Linked DNA regions of Cricetulus griseus. The protein of the gene in region 3 interacts with the protein of the main gene of each other region in a biochemical or structural test. Links are inferred from orthologs where the notes say so. Each region holds a gene or a part of one and is shown on either strand. Other genes may lie near its edges.

Region 1 (6,518 bases), about 110 Mb from region 3:
CCCAGGGCCTGGGGCCTCCTAGGACTCATTCCTCTGCAGTTGAGTGGGCTGATCCCTCCCTGTCTATGTTCTCCACATGGAGCCTAAATCTTGTGGTGCAAACAGTTTTTAGTAGTCTTCAGTATCCACTTTATAGAAGTCAGAGAAACCAGCCCTTTTTTTGACCCCACGCCCTGCCTCACATAGACTTAATCTTGCTATTCCTGGTAGCTATACCACCTCACCGCTTTTCCATTGCTCAGCCCACATTGTGTGGTACCAACCTGTCCCTGATGACCCAAGCAGGTATCCTTGGAGTCCAACTCCTCTATGAACTCCAACACACCCCTTGTCCGCATTGCCCGGCTGTCCTCCGGAGAAGGTCCTGTTCTGGCTAATGTTTCTGAACTTGAGCTGCCTGCTGACCCCAAGTGGGAGCTATCCAGGACCCGGTTAGTGGTGGTGAGGGACAGTATGTACTTGGTGGGGGTTCTGGGGCTGGGGACTGGAGAGTTACTAGGCAGGGACCTGTTGAAGGTGGGATGAGATGTTCCTGAGGTAGAGTGCGGGGTGAGATTTGAGGTTTACTTTTGGTCTTCATGAGCAAATGCCCATGGAGCTTCCAGGACACAGTGGCACATGACTATGAGTCCTGGGAGTTCTGGGCACACACTTACTGCCTCTGCTTCTGTGGCCAGGCTGACACTCGGTAAGCCCCTTGGAGAAGGCTGCTTTGGCCAGGTTGTCATGGCAGAAGCTATTGGCATTGACAAGGACCGAACTGCCAAGCCTGTTACGGTGGCTGTGAAGATGCTGAAAGGTGAGAAGGGAGAGAAGTAGAAGGGCATTTTATTATTATTATTATTATTATTATTATTATTATTATTATTATTGGTTTTTCGAGACAGGGTTTCTCTGTGGCTTTGGCGGCTGTCCTGGAACTAGCTCTTGTAGACGAGGCTAGTCTCCAACTCACAGAGATCCTCCTGCCTCTGCCTCCCGAGTGCTGGGATTAAAGGCGTGTGCTACCACTGCCTAATGTAGAAGGGCATTTGAGGGCTGTGGGGCCATTAACAGACAAAACCATTCCTGCTATAGATGATGCCACTGACAAGGACCTGTCGGACCTGGTGTCTGAGATGGAGATGATGAAAATGATTGGCAAACACAAGAACATCATCAACCTGCTGGGGGCCTGCACACAGGGTGGTAGGTGCAGCAGGTGGGCAGATTGGTAGAGGGGGGCTCCTGAGTCACACAGCATCTCAGCTGTGTGTATTCCCAGGGCCCCTGTATGTGCTGGTGGAGTATGCAGCCAAGGGCAACCTACGAGAGTTCCTGCGGGCACGACGGCCTCCAGGCATGGACTACTCCTTTGATGCCTGCAGGCTGCCAGAAGAACAGCTTACTTGCAAGGATCTTGTGTCTTGTGCCTACCAGGTGGCCCGGGGCATGGAATACCTGGCTTCCCAGAAGGTATGCAGAGATAGGTCCCAGACCAGGTGGGGTCTGTCTGGGTGGAAGAGTGAATATCAAACTTGCCTGAGCTGGGGAGGTGTCAGCTTAGCCCAGGTTCCTTGTATGTTTCCTCAGTGCATTCACAGAGACTTGGCTGCCAGAAACGTGCTGGTGACTGAGGATAATGTGATGAAGATTGCAGACTTTGGCCTGGCCCGTGACGTGCATAATCTAGACTACTACAAGAAGACCACAAATGTGAGCCCTGGTCTAGGGTAGTTTGGGTGTAATGCTCCACTGGTGGACACATGAGAGCCAATACCTCTCCCTCTGTCCAGGGCCGGCTACCAGTGAAGTGGATGGCACCAGAGGCCCTGTTTGACCGAGTCTACACCCACCAGAGTGATGTGTATGTATCCCCACATAGGATGGGGCTAGGGAGTTGCACCTCTCACAGCCTTCAGGATCCTGGTCCTCCCAGGCTGTAGTTTATCCCCTCATTGGGCCAACAGTATAGCCCTGGTGTCTTACTTATCCTGGTGCCCTCACCCCTTGCCCATTGGTGGTGTGTCCTGGTGCAGGGCTGCAGCAGCAATGGACCAGGAGTAACAGGCCTTTTGTCCTCACTCCCTTGCAGCTGGTCCTTTGGGGTCCTTCTCTGGGAGATCTTCACACTGGGGGGCTCACCGTATCCTGGCATCCCAGTGGAAGAGCTCTTCAAGCTATTGAAAGAGGGCCACCGCATGGACAAGCCAGCCAACTGCACACATGACCTGTGAGCAAAGCATCCCTTGCTCATTCCTCTACCCAGTCCCTGGGGATGGCAGGATTCCTACCAGGGTCCCTGGGATGAGTAGAGGATTAGTGGCTGGGATGAGGTAGGGATTGCCTGCAGGCCAGGAACTCAATAGCTATACCTGCCACAGGTACATGATCATGCGGGAATGTTGGCATGCGGTACCTTCACAGAGGCCTACCTTCAAGCAGCTGGTAGAGGACTTAGACCGCATCCTTACTGTTACGTCAACTGATGTAAGTGCCACTCAATCCTACTCCCTCTGGGTGTTGTTCCTTGGGGCTCCAGTGGTGGGACTGCCCTTGAAGGTCACAGTCTGAACACAAATGGCCATGGGATTGAAGAGAGTGCCAAGGCACATCCTGACAGCCTTGTCTACCAACAGGAATACCTGGACCTATCGGTGCCTTTTGAGCAGTACTCGCCAGGTGGCCAGGATACTCCTAGCTCCAGCTCTTCAGGAGACGACTCTGTGTTCACCCATGATTTGCTGCCCTCAGGTCCACCCACTAATGGGGGACCTCGGACGTGAGGGGCCAACAATCCTACAGACCAAGCCCTAGCCAATGTTTACGCGGAACCTAGCCCGCTCTGCTATTGCTGGTGTGCAGTGGACTCCAGCCAGCCCAGTGTGATGGACCAACAATAGACAGGACTTCCTGTGTGTGTGTGTCCTTGGCTCCTGGGTGCAGAGGCCCCTTGGGAACATGCACTGCTGTACAGTGGTCTTCTGACTGGCCAGGGTCAGGAGCACCAAATGTAGAATGTAAAGAGGGCCCACCCTGTGCAACCCTGGGGTTCTGGCTCCCTCATTTCCCACTGCCACCTCCCAGGGACCATTGTAGAGAAGGCTATACTCCCATGTCCAGGGTGGACCTTGGCCTTTTTGGTGCCTAAAGCTGAGCCTGCAGGGAAGCTCTGCCCTATGTGGCGAGCCTCTCTTCTACATGGCACCTTGTGTTTGGTGGTGAGTCACAGCTCTCCACCTCCAGGCCTTCTATTTCTCACCCCGACCCTCAGACTGAAATTACGGGTACCTGAAGGTGGGAGCTATAACTTCTATCAGAAAGGTTTATTCCAGAAACAAATGTACATTTATATAAATAGATGTCCTGTATGATATATACATACATATATATAAAAGAATATCTATATGGAGGCAGGCAAAACTGAGGTCCAGAGGAGCAAGATACCCCATAGGGCTCACTGGTAAAATGCCAAGAACAAGCCAAGAAGCAAGGAGCTTTTCTGGCACCACAGTTTTGTTTGTACATGGACCTGTATATTTGTAAAGCTATTTATCATCCCTCAAAGCCCCAGCCCCCCCACCCCAAGTTCATAGTATTTAGTTCTAGGGTATTGCAGAAACTTTTAAGTTGTAACTTATTAACAGTTGAAGAGGTTTATGTGGAATTTTGGGGGTTGCTGAGAATGTGCATCTGGCCCCCAAGGACTAGAGGCAGCCCTTGGAGCTCCAGCAGCCCTCGAGTTAGAGGTGACTCCAGTTCTTACTTCCTTTGGCCCTCTTTCATGGGGGATTAGATTTATATAGGACCTTCCTCTTAGGAGATTTTTAAAAAATTTCAAGGTGACCGGTATTTTCATACAGATTATTCTAATTGATGTATATTCTAGGCAGAAGCCTGTGCCCAGGGAGGAGCCAGCCCTGCCTGAAGGTTCAGATGTTAATAGATGTTACAAGTTTATATATCTATCTCTATATAATTTATTGAGTCTTTATAAGTTGTATTTGCTGTAGCCTTAACACTTCTTATGGAGTGCTTCTAGACTTTTATGGCCTAGACTGCTACCTTTCAAAGCTTGGGAGTAAGAGTGGTGAATTCAGTTTTGTTACTTTTTGTACTGTTACTGGGCCCTAGGCTTGGGTGGCTGTACCTTGCCCATTAGCAAGCAGGGCAAGGACAGTGGCTCAGGGTAACTTTTCTTAGGGCCCAGCACATAGTTTGTCAGCCCAAACTGGCAGATGTGATTTTAACATAGCCAACTTTCTTCCAGAAAATAAAGTGAGAACTGGCTCTGATTTTTTAGAGTGCTTTACCTTCTGTTCTGGGATCTGCACAGCTGTGTCCTTACTGCCTGTGGGGACAGGCGAGGAGGGATAATAGCATCCAAGGAATCAGCAGCCTCTGGTCCCCAGTGCAAGGTGCTGGTCTCAGGCTCCAAGGGGACTAATTATCTTTGCTTTTCCTTACCTGGGTAAGGACAGCTGGGCTCAGGGGTGTCGTCTTGTGGCCGAAGGTGGCAGGTAAAACCTCAGGGTTACTAGTCTATAGGTTCCAAGGAAAGGGTGCAATAGAGTTGTGTCCATCGGAGGCGATCATGGGTGTGTGGAGGAAGTGCTCTTGGCCTCTCCAGCTCCCTGGCTGTCTTGACAGGGGAGGGATCCCATGAAGACAGATGGTGCTTTTAAGTATATGTAGTAATCTCTTTGGGGAAGCCAGGTAACCAAACACCTGGTTTAAGCAATCTACACTGGGCCAAACCTGGTGCAGGGGATCTCTGAGTTTGAGGTAAGCCTAATAATCTACGTAATGAATTTCAGGACAATGTAGAGAGAACTTAGTGTTTCCTTCCTATATCCATTTTGTCTGTCATACTTTCTAACCTTGGGAGAAGATCTAAGGAATGAAATTTCTCTCTTGCTCCACATCTCGCTAGGACTAGGCCCATCTTATAGGAGATTTGCATAGTCAAGGTGACTGAAATACTGGTTCTAGACAGTTGAAATGGGAGGTACAGGGTTTTAGAGGAAACTGTAGGCTTAACTCTCGTTGGTTGACCATAGCAACCTCAATTGGCACCAGACAGTTTCATGCCAGGGACTTGAGCCACATAGATACCTTATGATAGTGACCAGGCATGGAGAGAGAGAGAGAGAGCGCGCGCGGGCGAGAGTGTGTGTGTGTAGGGGCGTGGTACCAGATGGATACATTCTTGTGTGTGTGTGTGTGTGTGTGTGTGTCCGATGGATACATTCTTACCCCTGAAACAGGCTTGACATGGCTTGGGTCACCTGTGTGCCAGTCTGGCGCCCCCTAGTGCCATACTGAGCATAGCTTCCTATGGCAACCTGGAAGTCTTTTTAACTCCAAGAAAAGATTTGAACCAAGGGGTTGGTTCATGGTGACAGAGTGGTCTTGAGAGGAACAGGGGTCATAGGTCAGACCATTCTTGTCCATGATATTCCCATTGCCACCTTAGAAGAGACAGAGGTTTGGGCCTTGAGCTGCACCACCAGTGTCTATTGGGTGGCCACTGCCCAATGAGTAAACAGTATGAGTAGCTCTGTACTACCAAGCATTGGATTTGCATTCAAATCTCCCATGCCTTACTGAACCCAGGCACCTTCTGCTGTGTCTAGTAGTCTCTTTGGGAGGAATCTCTACCTGACTGCATTGCTATTTGGATATGGGAGGCAGTGGTGATGAATGGTTTCCTGGCTTCTGGCTAGCAGCAGGCACAGGTCGGCTCCCAGAACACTCCTGCTTATCCACTGGCATGTAGCTGTGTCCCCAGTGGTCTGAGGATCGGCAGCAAGAATTACTCTCTGGGCTGGAGAGATGGTTCCATGATTTAGTTGAGTACTTGCTGCTCTGATGACCTGGCTTTTATTCTTAACACCTACATGATGGTAACAACTATCAACTCCAGTTCCAGGGGTATGACAACCTCTTCTGGTCTCAGTAGTAGGCATGCACAAGGTGCAATACATACTTGCAGCAAAACAAAATTTTAAAAAAGGCAGGAAACTGTGTCAGATGTCCTGCTTTCCCAATGAGAGACTTGTGCACAATCAAACCCTGACTCATTGGCACATAAGGCTCTCTCCTCGAGTCACTTGGGGACTGAACTTCCATTTACTGTCTTAAATCTATCTCATCTGGATGTTTGCTCTGTTCTCACTATAGCCAGCAGGCGTGCTGTGCCCTTTGAATGGCTGTCCCCACCCTCAAGCAGTTCATACTCTTGCCCTGCAACTTGTACCTTTTTATCCTGGGGAACCAACGTAAATCTTAAGCATTCTGGAAGATGTCAAGAATGGCTACAGGAGGCCACCCAAGACATGCTGTGTCCTGGAAAGACCAGGAGATGGCTACTAAACCTTTACCCTGCTTCCTAGACCCTCCCAGCTGAGCCACTTGAGAGTAAGCATCAAGGTGGGACTTAGGAAGCTGCCTCCACCAGGCCCATTGCCTTCTACATTTCCCTGTGGCTGGATTCTGTCCAAGAGCTGAGTAGAACACTTATGTAGGCACAGGCCCTA
Region 2 (7,157 bases), about 160 Mb from region 3:
GGGCTCCGGGCATCGGCTAGGGAACTGGCTTAGCAGGGAGTTCAATGTGTTTCTCAGGGGCTGGGCTGGCCTGACTGGCATTCTTCCAAGATTACTTCCTGACACCTAGATTCAGTGTGTGAATCGGAACAAGGATGTTACTGGATTCTACAATAGGGCTCCTACTCTCAGCGCTGCTTGGGTACTTTCTGGACTCTACTGGGAAGAATTCTTTTTCTGACTTTCTATGGGAAGAATGACTTCCCCTGTTCTCATCCGGAGGAGTCAGGAAAGGGAGTTTACACTAGGCATGGGACACGTGTGGGCTGTGACATTTGGAGGAGGGGCTTCCATTTGGTGTAGCTACACCTGCTGACCTTTTGCCTGACCTGTGGTCTCTATCTTTGTGCTTGTAGGTCCTCTTTATGTCATCGTGGAGTATGCCTCCAAAGGCAACCTTCGGGAATATCTGCAGGCCCGGAGGCCTCCTGGGCTGGAATATTGCTACAACCCCAGCCACAACCCCGAGGAACAGCTGTCCTCTAAAGATCTGGTATCCTGTGCCTATCAGGTGGCCCGGGGCATGGAGTATCTTGCCTCTAAGAAGGTATGAGGCCTGATTGCACCCTTCCCCTCAAAAGACAGGGTGGGACTGAAGCCACCTAGCGCTCCAATTTATGACTACATAGTCCATGCTGGCCTTGAGCTCATCTTGTGCCCCCATCTCTGTGGTGCCAGGATGCTGCATGCATTAATGTGCCTGGCTCCAGCTTACAACTGTTAATTCTTTAGAGCTTGGGGTGCACAAAACCAGACCCCTTGTATTTAACTAGGTTCTCCGAGAAACTGAGTTAGGAAAGCCCTTGTCACCTTGGGGCCCGATTGAATTGTTTGAAATCTACACAGCCACTTTCTGCATAGACTTAGGCAACTATTTTTAAATTTACATCTAAGGTCCCATTTGGTAAGAGAGTCTGGCCTCAAATTCATTGTACAGCACAGGCTGGCCTTAAATTTGTGATTCTCCTGCCTCAGCCTCTCAAGTGCTGGTGTTATAGGCATGTGCCACTGAACCTAGCTTTGTATTTCTTCAGATAAAAAATAGGAATACTAATTTCTATGTCCTGGAATTACTGTGAGGATAAGATGACTTGTGTCTGTGAAAGTGACTGTCACAGGTTTCAGTGTTCACTATATCTTTGCTCGAATTCCCTACCCAGTGCAGACATGCTCTGCCAGGGAGAACACGGCTCAGTACACACACTCCACAGCCTAAGTGCACGCCTAAACATTCTGTTTTGGGGTTATAATTCCAAAAGCTAGAGGTTGGGATCAAGAAGGAAGGCATACATAAAGGAGGGCTTGCTAAAGTGACTGAGAAGACTACGGCTGAAGGTGTTGGGAATTAAAGAATATCCTGGGGGGTTGTCCAGAGAGTATGGTGGGAGTGTGGGCAGAAGGCCTACGAGGTAAAGTGGTCCACCACCTACTACACAATAAGTGCTGGAGTAGAGGGGGCTAGATGGGTGTGTGTCGGAGGATGGTTCAAGGTTGTCACCGCCCCTCCCATCTTCCCTGTCTGCAGTGCATACACCGAGACCTGGCTGCTAGGAATGTCCTGGTGACAGAAGACAATGTAATGAAGATCGCAGACTTTGGCCTAGCTCGAGACATTCACCATATCGACTACTATAAAAAAACCACCAATGTAAGTAACTTGCTTGGCATCTCCCAGGTCCCACACCCCCACTAGGCTTTTGCTATACTCTCTGCTATACTCACGTGGGGTTGTGTGATCTAAGAAAAGGTGCTGTAGGATGGGCTGAAAATGTACGTGCTGTGCCCTGGGTCCCACCTATCCCTGCCCTGCTTGTCCCCTCACTGCCCTGAGCCATCATCTTTAATTCTCCCATGAGCTGTCTATGTCATTTCTCCCCCACACTGCTGCTTGCAGGGCCGGCTGCCTGTGAAGTGGATGGCACCCGAGGCCTTGTTTGACCGGATCTACACCCACCAGAGTGACGTGTGAGTTTGAAATACACAATTACCCGGGATATGCTGGGGAAAGAATACTAGCAGTCTTGCATCTCTAGACTGCTGAGAATTTCTTTCCATCATTGGGTGGGGAAGGGCAATGTCTTGTCCCGTGAACATGTTTCAGCCTTTTTTTTGCATTGCCCCTTGCTGCCCCCTTGTCTCCTGTGCCCTGTCTCCTGAACTTAAGGGCTGTGCTGGGGGTGGAGAGGTTCAAGATGAGCACCTGCCCTGCTGACTTCTCAAGAGGACATAGAAAAGAAACCCTAGGGCAGCCTGGCCCTGTGCCGTAAGTCACAGTGGCACCATGTTCTCCTGTAGGTGGTCTTTTGGGGTGCTCTTGTGGGAGATCTTCACTCTGGGTGGCTCCCCATACCCTGGTGTGCCTGTGGAAGAGCTCTTCAAGCTGCTGAAGGAGGGTCATCGGATGGACAAGCCCACTAACTGTACCAATGAGCTGTAAGCATGAATTGGGGGAAAGACTGTGGGGGAAGGCCTGCTGGTAGTTGGCACCATTGAATCCACCGCTGGCAAGCTGGGTCATATGTTGAGGAAATCAGGAAGGGCTCCTTAGGTGGCGGCTCATGGGAGGTTCTTGAAGTCCTCGGGCTCTGAAGGAAGTGGGAGCATGGAGGGCAGATAATGAAACTGTGTGTTTGGAGGGAGCAGCCTCCCGAGTCATGCCGCCCCTGCCCTCTGGCCCAGCTCTGCTGTTGCCTTCCATCTTTGACCTCACTGTCCTGCTTCAGGTACATGATGATGCGGGACTGCTGGCACGCAGTACCCTCTCAGAGGCCCACTTTCAAGCAGCTGGTGGAAGACCTGGACCGCATTGTGGCCTTGACCTCCAACCAGGTAGAGCTACTCTGGGCTGAAACTTGAGCGGTCATCACATAGGCACTAAGGGGACCCTGCCATAAGAAGGTTTGTGTGCCATCTATCCTTTCCTTCTGTCACAGGAATATCTGGACCTGTCGATGCCTCTGGACCAGTACTCTCCCAGCTTTCCCGACACACGGAGCTCTACCTGCTCTTCAGGGGAGGACTCTGTCTTCTCTCATGAGCCGTTGCCTGAGGAACCCTGTCTGCCCCGACACCCGACCCAGCTTGCCAATGGTGGACTCAAAAGACGCTGACTTCCCCGGCCTTTCCCCAATTTCGTCGTCACCTGTGCCCCTCACCCGTAATTCCCTGCGGGACACACTGCCTTTCCCCTTCTCCTTTGCTGCTGGCAAGAGCCAGTGTGTACCTGAGGCCTTCCTGTGAGGCCTACCCCATCGTCACTCCCCACCCCGCCCCAGATCCCTCTTCCTCTTCTCAACCGGCCATGTGAGAAGGGAGTCAAGAGGCAGGTACTTGCTGGTAGCCACTTCCTCCTTCCCAGGTGTTGGACCAAGACCCATCCTGCTGCCTGGTACTCCTTGGAGGCCTGGGGAGTAGAAGCAAGTGGAACAGGTGTGCAAGCAAGAGCTCTCTGGAGTGTTCTGGTTGACTCATTGGCCTCCTGTGTTCTGGTGGCAGCAGCCTTGTGGCTACTGAAGCAATGGGGTTTGTTTCTGTTCGGGCCTTAACTGAAGGCAGTCTCTGCTTCAGATGGGGGGTATCAGTGGCTTCTTAATTCCAATACTAATTTGCTTTGCTGACCAAATACCTGGTACCAGAAGAGAGTGAGGCAGAGATCGGGGGCAGCGATGTGGCCCTGGGGCTGAGCCCTAGACTCGGGGCTCTGTACATAGCTATGAAGAAAACACAAAGTGTATAAATCTGAGTATATATTTACATGTCTTTTTAAAAGGGCCGTTACTAGAGATTTACCCGTTGGGTGAGATGCTCCTGGTGGCTGGGAGGCATCCATTGCTATATATTAAAAACAAAAACAAAAACAAAAAAAAAAAAAGGAAAATGTTTTTTAAAAGGTCATATATTTTTTGCTACTTTTGCTGTTTTATTTTTTTAAATTATGTTTTAGACCTATTTTCAGTTTAGGTCCCTCAATAAAAATTGCTGCTGCTTCATTTTTATCCTGGGCGTGTGAAAAGGGAGCAGATGTCCCCTGCAAAAGAGGGAGACAGGGACTAAGGGGCCATGAGCTGTTGGCACTGTGTGATTTCTATATTTCCCTGACCTCCCAGACCCTTCTATCTCTGATGATTTGGGAAAGACAGGGAAAGAAGACCAAAGTAACGGAGGGCAGAGAACCAAGACTAAGAGCTTGTTCCCTCTGATCATAGATTGTTTCCTCAGAGGAGATGAGACTAGCCAACGGTAGAACAAACCATACAGAGACTCAAAGCCCAAACCCTGTGTGGGTGCGCCTTTGCATCTATGAGAGATGCAAAGCTAGTCTTGTCTTAACCAACCTACTCTCCATTTCCTTTCCCATTCCTATCCTGCCCTTCCTGAGTCCTGTTACCAGGTTGCATTTGTTGTGACTATCCCTGATCTTGGTTTGTAGTTTTTCCTGTACAAACTCCACCCACCCCTCAGGAAAGGAAAAACAATCTTCTTTGGTTTGGGTCTGCTTGGAGACTTACTCCTGCCACCTGCTGGTGGTTATTGTCCTCTTCAGGAGGCACCTTATCATCTTACTCAGACCAGCGCCGCTCTATTCTTAGTGCTTACTGCTGGGTCACTGGGGAATACAAGACAATTCAATATGGCCTCATCCTGCAGGGGTTAGGGCTGCCTCTTTAAATACATTCTGAACGGGGTGTTTTTGGTGGCTGTGGTTTTGGTCATCATCATAGAGTTGTTATCATTGTTTCCCTCTGTAAACCTGTAACTATCAAAGTATTACAAGTGTTTTCTTGTGCTGAAAGGTATAATTCGGCGAAGAGGACCAGGGAATGAATTTTAGCTCAGAATCATCTGCTTAGAGACCATATCATAGTGTCGTTTTCCTTGTTAAAACAGTGACCATAATTTCTGCCTCAGCGCTGCTTGACTCAATGCTGTGTGGATGGATGGGAGGAGAATCTACGGAGTGCTTTGTATGACTCAAGGAAAGGTGCTAGGGTATATAAGGCACTGAAGTCCTTGCTGTTGCTATTCAAATTGCCCACAAATATCCCCTGAGGCAGGGATGGCTATCAAATAAAACATAGTGAAATTGACCTGAAAGAAAATGAAATGGCTATTTTACTTAGGTGACCAGATTGAGTCTCTTGGGAAAGGGAATCCAGCTTATATAATGAAGATGTGCTGTCAAAGTACTGCATCTGTCTGGTTTCCTGGGGGTTAAAATATGGCCAAGGCATCAATCAATACTGCCTTTCAATCCTTTCTAATTGCCAGAGGCTAGAGATCATCAGTCCCTTGGCTCTGTTAATGTAATATATTGATTTCAGGTAAGTAAGATTGAGCATAGATGAAGTAAGAAATGTGCCTTAATGGTAATGAAGTCTGTCTATCAGCTGCCACCGGGTGGAGCCAGCAACCTAAAATCCCCCCACCATATTAGGTAGTGGGCCACTTTGCTCTGAAGTAACAGACCTACCTTCCATTTGGAATCCTTGGCCTGGATTTAGTATTCTAAAACTCTGGACGTGACCAATATGGCTTGTGCAGAATTAGACCTGTTACAAGTGCTGGGTGATACTATTAAATAAAATGCCACCAACAACTATTATGGCAGACTCCTGTGTAAGGTGTGAGCTGTGTCTAGTGTCACTCCAGGTGCATGTTAGAGGTGGCCTAAATTGTACCCTGTGAGATTATTAGTAGCTGGTGGAGCCAAGACACCTACATCTGCAGGGAAGAAGAGAACGGGGGGGGGGGGGACGGACGGACGGACGGACTTGGAAGCAACATGGCTCGGCCTTCCAGCCCCTTAACTGGTAGAAACCAAGAAGGGAGAAGACCAGCAAGAACCCTGAGGTTGGCTGGACCTGGTCATACATGCCTTTAATCCCAGCACTCAGAAAGCAGAGGCAAGCAAATCTGAGTTCAAGGCCAGCCTAGTCTACATTGTGAGTTCAAGGCCTGCTAAAGATGCACAGGGAGACCCTGTCTAAAAGAAAATTAAACAAGAACACTGAAGTTATGAAGGGTTCCAGAACCAGTTCCCTCACTGGACAATGTCCAGAATCATCTTTGCTGTACTGCCTCCCAGATGCGTGCAGTACATGCATCTAGTAAAAGTAGTGCGTTTAGTGGCCAAGCTGCCAGTCATAGGTTCCAGTGGTGTGCTGCAGCTGGTATGTGCTTCTTTGCAGTGAAGTCATCCTTTTTAGGGTACATTTCCATCCTTGGGATCTGCAGCTGTGGTTACTGATCATTGGCTAATGCACTACTAGTGAGGTTGCAGTCTGGGGTTATGGCCAAGTATCCTAAATGTTGAAAATGGAAGCATTGATATCATCTATAAAGATGGGTAGAGAAAGGTATCAAGTATCTCTCTAGCCTAGAAGTTAGCAAAAACAAGTAAAGCTACTACTAGTTCAAGGCCAGTTTGGACTAATGAAACACACAAATTCCCAGCCATGGTGGCACATGCTTTTAATCCTATCACTTGGGAGGCAGAGGCAGATTAATCTCTGCTATCAAGGCTGGCCTGGGCTACAGAGAGAGTTCCAGGACAGCTAGGGCTATGCAGAGAAACCTTGTCTTGAAAAACCAGAACAACCCACAAATGAAACAAATTAACAAGAGAGCAGACCTGGTGACACATGCCTTTAATACCAGAACTCAAGAGGGCAGCTGATGATGATCTCTGTAAATTCAAGGCCAGCCTGGTCTACAGAGCAAGTGCCAGGATAGGCTCCAAAGCTGGTATGTGCTTCTTTGCAGTGAAGTCATCCTTTTTAGGGTGCATTTCCATCCATCAGGAGATCCGCCTGCCTCTGCCTCCTGAGTGCTGGGATTAAAGGTGTGTGCCAACAACACCCAGCCTTTTTTTGTTTTTGTTTTTTGTTTTTTCAAGATAGGATCTTAGTAGATCTGGCTGTCCTAGAACTCACTCTGTTGATCAAGAGATCACAGAGATCCACCTGCCTCTGCTTCCTGAGTGCTGGGATTAAAAGTGTGTGCCACTACTGCCTGGCTAGCTAATCTCATTTTAAGATTTTTATGAGTCTTAATTGCATGTATGTATGTGCATCACATGCATGACTGGTACCTGTGGAATTCAGAAGAGAGTGTTGTGT
Region 3 (7,068 bases):
AAAGTTTACAAGAATGATCCTGTTCATCTGATGTTTGCCTCAAAAAATAATAATTATTATAAGAGAGGAGGAAGAAGGAAGAGGAGAAGAAAGAAGAAAAAAGAAAGGAGGGGGAAAGGAAGAGGAAAAAGGAGGACGAGGAGGAAGAGATCTGTACTACATAAATGTTTTGTTTTTTTTTCCTCTCCCTTGGTAATTGTAAAATCAGTGTCATGTTTGATGTTAGTCTTGTTGTCGTGGAAGTGGTCTGAAATGAAAAGGCATAGTTATTGCTTAGCTTTGGTACACTCTGCAATAGATTAAAACAAGTAAGACATACACCAACCCTCATTCGTTCCAACCGCCCAGTTACACTGAGTTATGAGAGAGGAAAATTACAGACACGGAGTGAAGGGCTGAGACCCAGTTCATCTTTAATCCTCTGGGGTAAGCTATGAAACAAGCAGTCTGGAGAGTGAACACTCAGTGTCGTGAGCGATGTGCAGAAGTTTACAATAACATGGGCACAAAATAGATTGTCGCCTTTAGTACATTAGGGCCATTAGAATCTCTTGTACACCTACTTGCATGAAGTTACCACAGGTTCATAGCAGACTTTGCCATTTAATGCCTACAGAGCCTAAAGCTTCCAAAATGCCTATCTGGCCTGTACATATTTCATTAAAAATAAACTCTATATAATAAATAAATATATAAAATAAATAAAATGTTGCCTTTGGAATTTCTATAAATAAATTTAACCTTTTTTCTTTTTTTCTTTTTTCTTTTTTTTCTTTTTTCTTCTTCCTTTTTTTTTCTTTTAAACTAAGAGGTCTTTTGCTTTAAGTTCACTGGGCTACGATACCAGTGAGAATGAACTGACAGTCTTTTAAGTGAGACTGCACCCTCCACGCCTGTGGAAAGGCAGTGTTCCCTTGAGCAGGCCACCAGCCAAAAATCCTGATGAGTTGAAGTATGGCAGCTGTGCTGATAAACGATGAAGTTCAACTGATCGAAAATGTAAAAGCGTGTCTATTTCCCAGCATGCATCAGGCCGTTGTCCTCTTGGCGCTCTGCTGTCCCCCTCTCCTCACTCACTCATGCACTCGCACCCTCCCTCTCGCGCAGCCTCTCTCCCCTGCTTTCACAATAAATCAAGCAAGTGGCCCCAGGCAGCCCTCCAGAAGGACCAGCCAGTAAGTGCAGAGCAAATCAGCAAGTCCCCATCCAAGCTTCCATCATACATATGCATGCGACAAAGTTTGGCAACAGTGGAGCTGAGGTGGTGGCCCTGCTAATCAATAAGATCCCACCGCATGAAGCATTGATAGTGGTTATGTTTTAAGGGCTCAAGTGAAGACACTGTCTTTGTCAACTTTGGCTTAGAATATCCTTATATAGTTCAGGTACTTTGTCCGGGTCCACTGGTCTAGGTAAAAAATGTGTAAATTTCTGGTGCCGTTTAGTCCTGGTCCCTTCTCTTGGAGTCCCATCCTTATTTAATGCAACATAGTATCTCCTTCCGGTGTCCACGTGTTTATAGAGGTTGGAAGAGTAGGTGTTGTACCAATTCTCTTCAAACTGTTCTCTGAATACACACTCTTGTGTGAGTTTTTCCTGTCAAAAAAGAAGAAAGGAAATAAATACATTGCAAAATGTAGCTGCCTCATTAAAAATCAATACTCTCCATTGTTACACACAAGTTGAGTCCCCTTTATCCTAGATACTTTAGACCAGACTACTTCTAAACTATTTTTATTTTGGATTTTGAAATATTTGCATATGCATGAAGAGATATCTAGGATATGTGACCCATATCTAAACACAAAATTCACTTACATTTCAAATACACCTTCTGTGCATAGCCTGGAGGTAATCTTGCATCATATGTTTTCATTAAAATTCTCATAATATGGAATTTTCTGCTTGTGACATCATGTTAGTGATGAAAAAATTGTTTAAATGTGGGGACATTTCAGAGTTCAGACTTCCAAATCAAGTATGCTTGAACCATATAAGAATAATCATTTTTTTATTTTAAACTTTATTATTAAAAAGTTGAAAGTAAGAAAAATCACACGTGGAAATTAACAACTGAAAAACTACATGATTCAGTGAACTTCTAAACGGTTAAATTTACTGTCAGAACGGAAGTTGTGAACCTTCGTATTGGATTCTATACTTTCACTATCAAATAAATTGTACATACTTATCCACCACCAAAAATGAAAAATCCAGTTTTAACTACTTCAATGCACTTTCCAAAAACTGTTTTATCTCTATCAACTTAATGACATTTGAATTTCTTATTCAAGATGGCTAAAGCACAAAGAATTTTAAACATCTGGGGAAAGGGGAATGAATCATAATACTGATTTTTTTGAAGACAAGATTCACATTACTTTTTACAATTCAATGTAAAAATGTCAAGGACAAAGTCAAGAAAAGGGTAGCACCTTGATGACTATGAAAACATTCAATCTGCTGACAGCACCTAGACACTGTCTCTTGGGTCTCTTTCATGTCAGACGATGTATTCAAAGGACAGCTGACCCACTCATGATTCTCATTTCCCCACAGCATCTGGAAAGTAGCCTCACTGGGAAGGGTTTGCCCAAGTGGAGACTCTAAGAACCACCTCATTGTCAATACATGTTCATAAAGTACTTGCTGTATCCAATGATGTCCACAGTGTTAACAGTAAGCGAAGCCTGGGAGCATCCTGCTGCATGGATTATTCTCTGAAGTGTGGCACATTCACCTGAGCCATGTCTTCAACCTTTGGGTTATGGAAGCCTCTACCCTTTAAAACTCTGATCTCAAAATGTACAAAACAGCTGTTTTTAAAATCCCTAGGAGAGCCAGGCAGTGGTGGGGCATGCCTTTAATCCTAAACTCTGTAGGCATAGGCAAGTGGATCTCTGAAGTTCAAAGCCAGTCTGGTCTACAAAGTATGTTGCAGGACAGCCACGGCTACACAGAGAAACTCTGTCTCAAAAAAACCAATCTAATTCTAAGGCAAACCATTCTTAGTCCACATTTTAAGATATCCATTATACCTTGATACTCTCAAAGGATTGGCTTGAAGATGTCTCACAGCATCTTTGACTGTTCAGGTCCCCTTACATATAAATGGTGTGCTTGCCTGCAACCTATCCCATCCTCCCTCAGACTTTAAACTATCTCTAGATAACCAATGATACCTAATACAGAGTAAATGCAGGGTAAGTAGTTACATAGACTCATTGAAGACACAGCTTCTTAAACTATGGGGTGTGGTCCCATTGGAACTGCACAACTGAACATGGGGCTCACAAAAGGAATTGGCAACCACAAAAGGTCTCCAAATGTGCAACAACCAAAGCTAATTGAAACTCAAATTCAAAATAAATCTGAGGCGCCGCTGGCAGCACTCTCCCATGTTGCGTCACAGGACTTCACTGCAGCCTTGTTCTGAACAAAACATCATGCGTGTTCCGTACTGCTCACGCTGAGGCCACACAGAGCCAAGCGGCATGGCCTGAAGCTCCTTGGCTCAGACCTGAGACTGTTAAGTACGGAGAACTGTAATGTTTTCACCATACATAAAACCTTTTCTGCTCTTGTAAAAACAAAACCATTTAATTATGAGAAACAAAGACTTTTCATATTTTCCACCTTAATATGTAAACTTTTCAAATTAGAACATCTTTCGATTGTATTATAGAAGATTGCTTGATTTTAAAAATTGTTATTTGAATTTAATAAAATCTGAGTTGCTGACTTGAGTTTTATTAAAAAATAAATTTTGGCTTGAGATTAGAATAGAATTTCCAACCATTTATGAAATGGTCTAAACATACTTCTGACATTTTGTACAATGTATTTATGCAAAGCAGCACTCTCAGCATAAACTATTCAAAAACCAAACTCCTGGTCATCTCTGAAAAGCACTGAAAGTTCTCTGTGTCTGCACAACAAATATTCAGCCAAGATTTAATTCTCTGTGTAAACATAAGCAAGCTTGTCCATTTCACTAGAACGCAAACTGGTTTTATCTTTACATATAGGCCAAAGAACTGTTTCAAATTTTCTTTTCAATTTATTATTATCACGTGTTTGATTTGTGTATATATTTTATACACCCCTATACCCAGGAGCACAAAGCACTCACGAGTGGGGAAAGTCTAAAGCCCTAGTTTAGGAAATAAAGACAACAGGAATGTGTGTGGAGGGTTCTCAGTCCACGGTGGTTGGATCTTCGGAAGCACAGCCAGGGAGTCAGGAGGAATAGCCATAATGCTTTCTGTCTTGACTGGGGTAATGGCTCCAAACAAATCCTCTAGCCCCCTTATTTCATGAGCCACGCTCAGGTGCAGAGATGCCAAGATGAAAAAAGCTAGCCTCGGTTTTACAGGATTTACATTCCCACTGCAAGAAAATCTCTCTGCCTTCTTAAATATCATCCCCTTCCTCTTTCCCTGAGCTCTATAACCTCACAGTGTGGAGACCATGCTGTCATGTCAGCCATGACCAGAAATGACACATCCATCACATCCCACAGCTAGGAACACACTCTGGGCTGCAGTGTGTGTACTGAGGCTGCTCCTAGTGAAAGGAGGAAAGGGACACTTCCACCCTTGGCTCCTATCACCACACAATTGAAACCTTTAAAATCAATACCTTTCTAGTTGCTTGTTTTAAAACTAAGAGTGCTCTTGCGTCCTTTCTGCTGGGCACCTGCTGGTTGCTATCCAAATGGGAAAGTTCATGAAATCAGGGAAAGTGGTACTGGCCCTGGCTGAATGCTACTCCAGATGCAACAGTGTCCTGAAGAACATTGATGATGGCACCTCAAACTCTCCCTATAGCCATACTCTGGGGGCTGCAATTGACTGCTACCCTCACCAAACTGGCAGGTGCACACGAAAGATGGGAATTACCAACAGGAGTATAACCACAATCACCTCCTACCTCCTCCAAAGTACCGTGTGACTATCTCCTGGGATAAAACTGTCATTAAAGGTTGTCTTCAGAGGCCAGCTCTGAAACAGAAGACCAAACAGGAGGGCAAGGTCTGAGACATGACACAAGATGGGCAGGAACAAACAATTCTTCTAGAAGCTTAAGTGTTAGGTGTATTTTTGTTTCCATCATTAAAAATAGGAAAAGGTGACTTTTAAAAATTAATTGCTTTGCATTTGTCCACTTGGCACATTGGATAAGTGAGAAGAGAAATAAGCCAGACCCATGGGCGGGCTCTGCAGCCATAGATGCAACCGGTGGCAGACTGAAGTTATTTGGAGTGTTGGTTGCATGAGGACCAAACATGTTCTGTCTTTCCTGTCACTGTGCTTCCCAAACATGTTATGATAGGAGTTTCTGGAGTGTTGACGGTGATTTCAGGGTTCTGAGTTATGCAAAGATAATGGGCAGAAAGATATGTATAGCTTTTATGCAGTACTATGGCAGATCTGGGTATGTCGAGGGGGTCATAGAACTAATCCCTTACAGATACTAAGGGACAACTGTCATCTTCTGCCCCTGTCATTCAGAACGGAGGGCACACAACACACTTTACATAGCACCAAAGCACTGATGCCCTTTTATACTCATATATTAAGCATATGACTTAATACACTAAGTTTAGGAGAAGCCAACCGGATAGATTCATCTTCTCCCATTGTTAGAAAGTCAAGAGGGCTGAAGAGAAAAGGACAGAATTTTACAAATCAACCAGCACTTCAACATAAGTCATGCTGTACCTTGTCTTTTTATTTTTTTATTTACAGTTCTTGGGATGGGGGGGGGCGGCTCATGTCATGGCCCATGTGTGGAAGTCAATTTCACCTTCCACAATGTGGGTCCCAGAGAGTAAACTCGGGTGCTCAGCCTTAGTAGCAAGCGTCTTTCCCCACTGAGCCATCTTACTGGCCCCTCATCTCTTTCCTAACCCTAAACCTGAAAGAACATCTAACAGCTCTTACTGGCTTCCTCATAAGCACTCTTCCAAGTGGCCAAAAATCATCAGCAAGGTTTCTGGTGTTGCTTTGGTTTGGTTATTGGGTTTTGTGATGTTGGAGATCAAATGCTGGGCCTTGTACATACTAGCTAGACAAGCGCTCTACCACTGAGCGCCCCACGCCTCAGCTCTGAGGTTTTTAACAAAGTATCACCTCATCCGACAAACTTACTGTGTAAGCTGAAACAAGAGAGTAAAAGAAAAGGGTCAGCCTGATCACAGGGGATTTATAGAGACAACACGCACAGCAGAAAGCGAGCCCTCATCCATCACCCAGAGTACCACTTACACTCGGGCTGCTGCCACTAGTGCAGCCAAAGAAGCTCAACCTCACAGGGGTGTGGGTTGCACAGCAAAGGGCAATCCTCCACTCTGTCTGCCTGTAAAGCTAAAAGGGGCTTCTGGACAAATGCAGCCACTCCTGCACTAAGATGGCCTGAGCCCAATGGTTTCCCCCTTATCTCTAGCAAAGTCCTTGTGTTCAAGCCATCAGTCAATATTTCAGGCTTCATTTCCATCTGTGTTCCAGTCTCCCAGTTCAGAAAGGATGGGGTGGGGGATGGGAAGTATGCATTCAGATTAAGGGTTCTTTCTCTCCACTGGAAATTATATCACCAGACTAATATTGCAAAATAAATCTTTACTTTAAAAATATAGGATGGTTTCTCCTTGTTGGGAGCCAGGACTGAGGAGCAGTTCCTGCTCCCTTTGCCCTGAGGCCTTTCTTATGGCAGAGATGGGTCAGCTAGCTGCTCAGGGCTGGTTCACACCCTGAGAGAAGGCTTGTCTCACACCTCAACTTCACCCCTCACTCACTAAGGAGACACTGACAGCCACCCATGTCCTTTCCCAAGTCTCTTTAAGAGGTTAGGCCAAGACAGGCAGCCCTAACTGAAAATCTAAAATGCTACTCATGTCTGAATTTGGTATTAGCCAAATTCATGGAGTTTTATATTTCAGAGTGTTTCATACTTTTTCATTAGGAATGCTCAACTGGCTGGGCATGGTATTGCATGCCTTTAATGCCAGCACTGGGGAGGCAGAGGCAGGTAGATCTCTGTAAGTTCAAAGCCAGCCTGGTCTACAGA

The links.
Region 1: the proteins of Fgf9 (region 3) and Fgfr3 form a complex in vitro, tested with the Homo sapiens proteins (3 studies listed by BioGRID and IntAct, with this or other methods). The link is inferred for Cricetulus griseus from reciprocal best matches to the Homo sapiens genes FGF9 and FGFR3.
Region 2: the proteins of Fgf9 (region 3) and Fgfr1 interact in a biophysical measurement, tested with the Homo sapiens proteins (2 studies listed by BioGRID and IntAct, with this or other methods). The link is inferred for Cricetulus griseus from reciprocal best matches to the Homo sapiens genes FGF9 and FGFR1.

Annotation. Positions count from the first base shown.
Region 1 is NW_023276807.1:102,792,079-102,798,596, forward strand, and holds the end of Fgfr3 (fibroblast growth factor receptor 3), read left to right. Parts: intron 1-282; coding exon 283-431; intron 432-677; coding exon 678-799; intron 800-1,077; coding exon 1,078-1,188; intron 1,189-1,264; coding exon 1,265-1,455; intron 1,456-1,572; coding exon 1,573-1,695; intron 1,696-1,775; coding exon 1,776-1,846; intron 1,847-2,074; coding exon 2,075-2,212; intron 2,213-2,363; coding exon 2,364-2,469; intron 2,470-2,618; coding exon 2,619-2,765; 3' UTR 2,766-4,274; downstream 4,275-6,518.
Region 2 is NW_023276807.1:58,201,097-58,208,253, reverse strand, and holds the end of Fgfr1 (fibroblast growth factor receptor 1), read left to right. Parts: intron 1-395; coding exon 396-586; intron 587-1,564; coding exon 1,565-1,687; intron 1,688-1,933; coding exon 1,934-2,004; intron 2,005-2,334; coding exon 2,335-2,472; intron 2,473-2,762; coding exon 2,763-2,868; intron 2,869-2,972; coding exon 2,973-3,149; 3' UTR 3,150-5,126; downstream 5,127-7,157. UniProt on the Homo sapiens protein: Tyrosine-protein kinase that acts as a cell-surface receptor for fibroblast growth factors and plays an essential role in the regulation of embryonic development, cell proliferation, differentiation and migration.
Region 3 is NW_023276807.1:213,231,501-213,238,568, reverse strand, and holds the end of Fgf9 (fibroblast growth factor 9), read right to left. Parts: intron 1,597-7,068; coding exon 1,351-1,596; 3' UTR 1,322-1,350; downstream 1-1,321.